Nothobranchius furzeri: one gene and its partner. The protein of the gene in region 1 interacts with the protein of each later gene in a pairwise test. Links are inferred from orthologs where the notes say so. Each region holds a gene or a part of one and is shown on either strand. Other genes may lie near its edges. The genes, in order: plekhb2 and cdab.

Region 1 (3,924 bases):
GAAACAAAATGATGACTTTTCAAATATGACAACTAATACCTTTTCAGTGGCTTAGTGGTAGAGCGTCCGTCCTGGGACGGGGAGATCGGGGTTAAAACCAAAGTCTTTAAAAATGGGACCAAATGCCTCCCTGCTTGACATGCAGCTTTAAGCGGTTGGATTGGGGGGTTAAACCACCAGATAGTTCCTGAGCACAGCCACAACTGCAGCTCACCACTCCCCACGGGGATGGGTCAGAGGAAGAGGTAACATCACCAGTCTCTGATGATGATTAATAAAGTAGATATTTAAGTAAAAGGAAAAAAAGGTTTTAGACTTTTATCTCAGGAAAAAAGTGAGAATACTGATTTTAACCTCTGAATCCTGACTTCTCTTCGAATTATCACATTATTCCCAGAATTGGAAGAAAAAAAGATTTCAGTGGCCCTAATCCTAGATATTAATCAAAAATGATAAATGTTCTTGTTTTTCAAAAGGTCCTGCAACAAATACGACTCTAAACAAGTTTTATTCTGGTGAACTGAGGGGAAAAATAGCCATTTGTAAAAGTTGCTGACCCCTGTTTCAGTCACATGGGGCGACGGTGGCACAGGAGTTAAGAGCTCGCCCCGCAATCAGAAGGTTGCAGGTTCGAGCCCCGCTCAGTCTGTCGCTGTCGTTGTGTCCTTGGGCAAGACACTTAACCCACGTTGCCTGCTGGTGGTGGTCGGAGGGACCGGTGGCGCCAGTGCTCGGCAGCCTCGCCTCTGTCAGTGCGTCCCAGGGCAGCTGTGGCTACATTGTAGCTCATCCCCACCAGCGTGTGAATGTGTGTGTGAATGGGTGAATGACTGATTGTGTTGTAAAGCGCCTTGGGGGGTTCCAGGACTCTAGAAGGCGCTATATCAAATACAGGCCATTTTTACCATTTACATGCTTACAACATGTGCCGTTACTCACCTTGGTACTGGTACGGATATGCAACAGCATAGGCTTGGCCATCTGCAGAGTAAACCATCTGTGTAGGACGAGGAGGTGGAGCACTGTAGTCTCCATATGGGCCTGGAGCATAAACCTGGGAAAAAGAAAGAAATATATCGTTACACATTCACGAATACTTGTTAGAAATGCATTTGGGTACTCCATTAACTACACCAGCAGGTGGCAGCAAACTCCGTCTTTCAACTAATAGGTTTCCTGTTTTTTTTTTAAATAATTCTCTTTTCAAAATGATGAATTATGACATAATAGATATTTGTTGTATTTTCCCATCATATTTACAAACAGTTGTACCTGTGGGTGAGTATATTCGGAGTAGGGGGGAGGAGCAGATGCAATCACTTCTGCAAAACCAATCTGAGGAGTAGCAACCACCTACATGATCAACAAATTAAATGAGACTTCTACAAGCGACCAATAACAAAAAAAAAAGAGTTCAATTGCTTCTGAACAAATGAAAGCAGAGAATGATCGGCTCCCTGATGGAGACATTACAAAACACGTCTTCAGCTTAAAGCTTAATGTTTTAAACTTGTAGTAACTCAAATGCTTTTTAAAGTTTTAGCTCAGGAATTTAACCAAACAAAACAAATACAGAACCCCACAGATGCAGCAAAACCTCACCGTATTAATCCTGGCATCCTGCAGTGCCATGGTCCATGCACTGCAACAAAAAATGTTTGAGAATATAAATTATGTTTTTCTCAGAATGTAAACATATTTCATTTCTGTGCATCCACTTTTATCAGCAAAGAAGTTAAAATAAATAAATAAATAAATGTGCTTACAGGGCATCATCTGCACTGTCTGCACACAGGCTGATGACACGTCCATCTCTGCACACTATCTGGAACAATGCATCACGTATCTTTCCCTCTGGTGGGTTCAGTTCTGGGAGGAAGGACAAAAGTTGAGAAGGATTTTTTTTAAACAAAAAAAGTGTATAACATTCTGCAAGTGTGATTTTTACGCAAAAATGTGTGGAAAGAAAACAAACCCTGGCATGCTCCAGAGTTGCGGATGTTGATGCAGTGGACTCTCATGTGAATGTCATCCTCCATGTCGCGCCGTTGTTGATCATTGTAGAAGACGAGCCGGCCATCAGCCCACAAATCAAACCAGTTTCTTTTCCACCGGCGTAATATGGTACCTAAAAGTTAAATATAACACTTGTTTGACAAGATTTCTTGATGTAGACCTTTTTTTTCCACTGAGGGACAGTTGAATACACAGAAACACAATTACTCACTTTGTCTATGAAGCCAGCCACTCTTTACCATAGCCATCTGCAACCCCTAAACAACGTGAGTCAGTTAGAGCTGGAGATGATGACTGGGTGTGGTGCATCTAAAACAAACCTCATGACTGCTAACATAACTGACCAGTCTCCTTCAGAAGAAAACAGCCTCACGTGGAGGGCAAATTAAAGTCTTTTAGAAAGTGATCACTATTAGCAGACTTAGCTCAAATGAGTTTGATCTGCTAGCACAAGAAGTTACCGTGTGACTTTAATAGAGTTCCTGTTCAGTGTTTAAAGTTCAGATGTTGTGCCATTATGTTTATTTATAGTACTGCATTTAATACAAATCATTTAATTCTAATTTACATAAACTGTATGGGTCTCAATGGCAGGTGATGAAATGGGATGAAATAAGTACACATTGTTTAAATGAAATAAACAAATAGCATTTTTTGCTAGCTAGTTTCCAGATGTTAGGTGATAGCTAGTGAACTAGCATGGCTACTTATGAGTTTAAAATGTTCACAAAGTGAGAAAACAGTACAATTCTGTCAGACAACAAGCTTATTTTGTGGTTTACATACTTACTTTTATTCCACTGTTTGTCCCAAACGGTCTTTTTCGTGATAATTAAAACGCGGAAGTGATATGCAAAAGGTCGATGCCTTACTTCGAGATGAAAAGGCCTGACCGTTAGCAAAGTGACTACAGCGTTTAGACCGGAGGGCCGTTATGTTTCAGTCAATGTTAACTCCGCCCCACCGAGCATCTTCACAAGTGGCCCGTCTCTGGAGAGGGAGGTGTGTTGTTTTGAATGACGTAACCGCTCAGCTGACAGCTGTGGAAAGTGCTAGCAAAAAAGCAGCAAGGGTGCGCTTGGTTACAGCTCACACTCACTGTGCACACACACGTGAAATATTTGCCCTTCTCTTGGCAATGCAAATATGTGTGGTTTTATTTGTTTATTGACGGTGAAAGTGTTTTTTTAAACATCAAATAATTCACCTTTAAATAAAATCGAATTTAGAAAATGGTGAGAGGTGGGGGACAAATATTGGCACAAGAACTGAGTTTTAGAATTGTTAAGAGTGTAGAAAGATATAAGTGACCAAATACGAAATTAGGCTGTTTGCCTGGGAACAAAAATGTTTAATTTTGGTCTGGGGAAATAGAAAGGCGGGAGCCAACATTTTAGCCATCGCCCGGCGGCAAACTCAGGATAGTAAAACAAACGCAACAGCGCCCCGTGAAGCCGTGACCACAGAAGCAGCAGAGTAACGCAGCAGCTAAATACATAGCCAGAAATGGCGACGGCAATTTACTTGGAGCATTATTTGGACAGTAAGTATCTGATAATGCACCGAGATCGATAATAACTTGTCAAAAATGTTTTTGTGCTTTACGTTGATTTTTATCGAATAGTTTGCTCAAAAGTAGAGACAAGTAGTTGTTACATTAGCAAACTTTAGCTTTCCAGCTAACTCGCTGTCGCAGCGAGATAAGTAGATGGGTAAAGATGAAATAAACTGTCATTGATAAACACGGTAATAAACCTCCCGTGTTTCACTTATTACTAAAATATCAACTTATTTTTTTATTTACAACAGTAATACTTTATTGATAAAGAGCATATTGTTTATCTTTGACTTATTTGAAATCACTTTCTGTCAGTTTGTATGTTTGCAGCAACCTCTTCGATGTATGCG
Region 2 (3,924 bases), on another chromosome or scaffold:
AAGAATAAAATGACGTCCAGATGTTGAAAAACATTGGAGGCTTTGTAACATATAACTATAAAAATCTGGTCTAAATTGCAGTCTTTGGAGGACGCCATAGACACCATGTTTCCTTCTGGCTGGCTCGGGGTCCTGCGCCTGTCGATGACATCACACTAGATGATTGGCTGGACGTACGACTTACAGGAGTTTTGTTAGTTTATTTAAACTAGCAACAGTCATGGCGATATGGTATAAAACTACCCTGAAATGTGTGTCTGTACTGCCCCCCAGTGCCAGAAAACTACACACTGCCACTTTAAGCTCTCGCTGAAAAGTTAAAATATTAATAATCATTGAACAAAATTGTTTGCCACTGTTTTCATTGATTGATTGATTGACACTTTAGTGTTTGAACTTATCTTTACATTCAGTAATGGCCAAGTGCATTGACGGACTAGCCATTGGGAGCATAGGGACATGTCCCAGTCCCCACCTGGACAAGTGTATCTCTTGCCCTCTAAATTTTGACACATTTGTTACAAATTTGATGAAAATAAAACCTTTTAGGTTCTTTAGTGGAAGATATCACGATCATAATTCAGTATATTAAATAAGTTAATTATGACTTTGTTATAAACAAAAAAACATTTATTTTATTTTAATAAGACAAAAGTTGTGCTTTTAAGAATGTTTTGTCATACCTGCTGAGATTTTTGACTGAAGGCTTCAGTCTAGCTCAAAACTAATTTCTGCTGTTGTGTCATTTATCAGCTGGTCTGGGGACGCGGTTTGGTAGCGCTCCCCCAGAAGACCTGGCCCAAGTGGCTGGGGAGAGGGAAGTCCGGGCCTCTCTGCTTAGGCCGTTGCCCCCATGACCCGACTCTGGATAAGCGGAAGAAAATGGATGGATGGATGAAACTTGTTGAACATGTTTTGCATCGACCATAAAATTATTATAACTTAAGAAAAAAACAAATAATTTGGTAACACTCCAATATCCTGAGATCCGGACCAATGCTTGAACAATGTTTCCAGCTATAAGTAACTGGCTTTAAGAGGTTTTCAATGTTTTCCATAGATTCAAGAAGTGTTGTTTTTCTACGGCAAACTGCCTTAAAAACTCAACAACAAAAGCATTGACGCCACTGCAGAACCCTTTGCTTTGATATGTACGTATCGTGTGGGTTCGCTCTTCATCTGGGCTACAATAAAGTTAATGCAGGAATAAATAAAATAAAGACAAGATAAAAAGTATCTGGTTTAGAGGTGAGTAGCTGTACCCCCCAGCACCAATGCAACACTGTTTACCGCTGTCAAGTACATCACACCTTTCTTTTAAAATCCATATAAAAATCTGTCCTCTTCCTTTGGACAGGGTTAGGGTAATTATGGTAAGTTTACTCCCTGGTGAATGATTGGCTGACTGTGTCCTCACCCCTTTCACCCCTCGGTCCCATTCACATTTAAAGCTGAGCCACAATGAGCTCATTCAGTCAAAATCAGGTCTACAAAACGCCAAGAGCCACTATGGATGGAGTCAACTCCCGACGGGACATCACTGTTGTCAGTCGCTCCAGGGACCTGAGCCAAGAAATGGTTAAAAAACTGATTCATCAGTCGCAGGAGGTAAAGACGCAATCTTACTGCCCTTACAGCAAATTCCGGGTGGGAGCTGCTGTCATGACCCTCGACAACTGTGTGTTTACAGGTGAGCTATGCAAAATGTTGGTAATTTCCTCTTTAAGCCCATGCTTTTCTATTATATTTAGTATAAAAAAATTTAAATAATGTGTCTGAGTCAAAGCCTTCTAGGAGACATAACAGAATTCAATATTAAAACAACACAATAGTGCATCCGTTTGCTCTGATCTTCATACTGCTGGATCATGTTAATGATTACCCATCAGGTCAAATGTCTAAACTTGAGAAAAGCTCTGGAGTAAAAGGCCAACGTTCTCCACACCCAGTAAGTACAGTCGGCATGTGCACAAACAGAAGTCGGAGACACGGTGCTCCTGTCAGCATCACTGGACAAGTCACCTGTCCTGTCACGTGGGGGAGGTACGGGGCGATGACTGGAAAACTGCTGCAAGTCCAAAGACCCCTCTGACTATTTGAACAGGCCAGCAGAAGTAAACACTGTTCCAGAAGGTAAATGCCCCTCATAAGTTAAGTCACCCCATGTCTTTGTGTGTCTCTCTAGGGTGCAATGTAGAGAACGCGTGCTACACTTTGGGACTGTGTGCTGAAAGGAACGCCATCTCGAAGGCCGTGTCAGAAGGATACAGGAGTTTCAAGGCCATTGCAATCGCCAGGTAAATGTACATTGTATTGCTTCATGTTGCATTTATTTTCACCTCAAGAATAACGTAACAGTTTACAGTAAGGGTCCCTCTATTAACGTTACTGCATTATGAAGCACTAATAAACAAATAATCCCTTTATTAAAGGGATACTATGCACATTTTTCATATTTTTAAATAATTGCCTTGAGCCAGTTCGTGCTTAAATAACTATTTACAGGGTTAATGGAATGTCACTCAGACCCCACCGCCCCCTCTGGCCAGAATATCACACTTGCAACTTCAGAGTTGCTGGTCTGTCCCTGCTGGGGGGAGGGGGGTTGAGTGGAGTGGAGCAGACATGGTGGAGCGGTCTGCTTCCAGCACGTTCCCTGCATGTTACTGATGGTGAACACAGCTGATTTGTTTGATTTAGTGATAAACCGCTCCTCTAGAAGATAATGAAGACGGAGGAGACGCTACAGCAGTAAGATTAAGGTGTTTAAAAGATGAATGCACGAGGAGATAAGTTTCATTTTCGGTTTAACTACAGTAAATTAAAAACGGACACTAGGGGGTGCTAAAAGCATGCACAACTACCTAGTGTCACTACCGTTGTAAAGGTTAGGACAAATGGCTGAGTGGGCAGAGGGTCTGCTAAGCAATGCATTACATTAATATGGTTAAGCAGTTTTTAATACCCTTATTTATTAATGCTTGATATTGCACAAAGTACTGTAAAAAATTACCAAATTATTCATAAAAGCCAAACAATTGAGTTTCATTTTTCTTGTAAATTCCTCCAAACCCCATTTGCTTTCTGCTACGTTTTCCAACTTTCTGTTTTTTGCAGTGACTTATGCGACCAGTTCATCTCTCCATGTGGGGGCTGCAGACAGTTCATGAGAGAGGTCTGAGCTCCTTGTTCCATTTGCAGAGTTTAAATGAGTCACTAAAGCAGCACGCATACTAATCAGCACTAGCAGGAGTAAAGCACTAGCCAAAGCTGGTTCCTTTTTGTGAAATGTGAAGTTTTTGTTTTTTTGACCTACAGTTTGGGTCCAATTGGGACGTTTACCTGTCCAAGCCTGATGGATCGTATCAAAAGCGGACGGTGGACGAGCTGCTGCCCCTCTCGTTTGGCCCTGAGGATCTATCCATGAACAAAGTGTTTAGCTGAACATGCTGTAGTGATACAGCATGCTTCATATGTGTTTAGCAGCAGTTATATTTATGGTGAGAAGTTTGTTCTCATGCCGTCTCTAAATTATATTTAAATCAACTGCGAGAGGGAAAAATATTATTGATGCAATGATTTCATGTCTACTTCCTCAGTAGCATTAAATGCACAACTTATGTTGGTAAAAATATTTATTGGTTTAAAGAAGCATGACAGAAACGAATGGTCACACATTTTAATAAATAGTTTTTAAATGGAGTCACGCTTCATTCCTTATTGAGAAATGAACACAGTTTCAGTTCAAAGGACAAACAAAAGAAGAACATATTTTGTATCAGTGTACTGCAAATGTTTCTATTTGAAGAGACAAAAAGAAGAGCCATGTAAGCTGCCAGTGCAAAGTGACAAAATTAATTCATGAGTTATTTTAAGTCTACCTATCATGCGTAAACATTCAGAGGCTAAAGATTAGAAGACATA

What was found.
Region 2: the proteins of plekhb2 (region 1) and cdab interact in binary tests that used the Homo sapiens proteins (3 or more experiments, as listed by UniProt). The two-hybrid records come from large-scale screens. The link is inferred for Nothobranchius furzeri from reciprocal best matches to the Homo sapiens genes PLEKHB2 and CDA.

What each region holds. Positions count from the first base shown.
Region 1 is NC_091748.1:41,161,451-41,165,374, forward strand, and holds the start of plekhb2 (pleckstrin homology domain-containing family B member 2), read right to left. Parts: upstream 2,947-3,924; 5' UTR 2,807-2,946; intron 2,274-2,806; 5' UTR 2,265-2,273; coding exon 2,228-2,264; intron 2,129-2,227; coding exon 1,976-2,128; intron 1,870-1,975; coding exon 1,767-1,869; intron 1,643-1,766; coding exon 1,603-1,642; intron 1,354-1,602; coding exon 1,273-1,353; intron 1,055-1,272; coding exon 940-1,054; intron 1-939. Other genes in the region: ing5a (inhibitor of growth protein 5a), read left to right, coding at 3,523-3,559. UniProt on the Homo sapiens protein: Involved in retrograde transport of recycling endosomes.
Region 2 is NC_091743.1:52,750,993-52,754,916, reverse strand, and holds cdab (cytidine deaminase b), read left to right. Parts: upstream 1-1,257; 5' UTR 1,258-1,461; coding exon 1,462-1,690; intron 1,691-2,185; coding exon 2,186-2,297; intron 2,298-3,117; coding exon 3,118-3,175; intron 3,176-3,318; coding exon 3,319-3,444; 3' UTR 3,445-3,702; downstream 3,703-3,924. UniProt on the Homo sapiens protein: This enzyme scavenges exogenous and endogenous cytidine and 2'-deoxycytidine for UMP synthesis.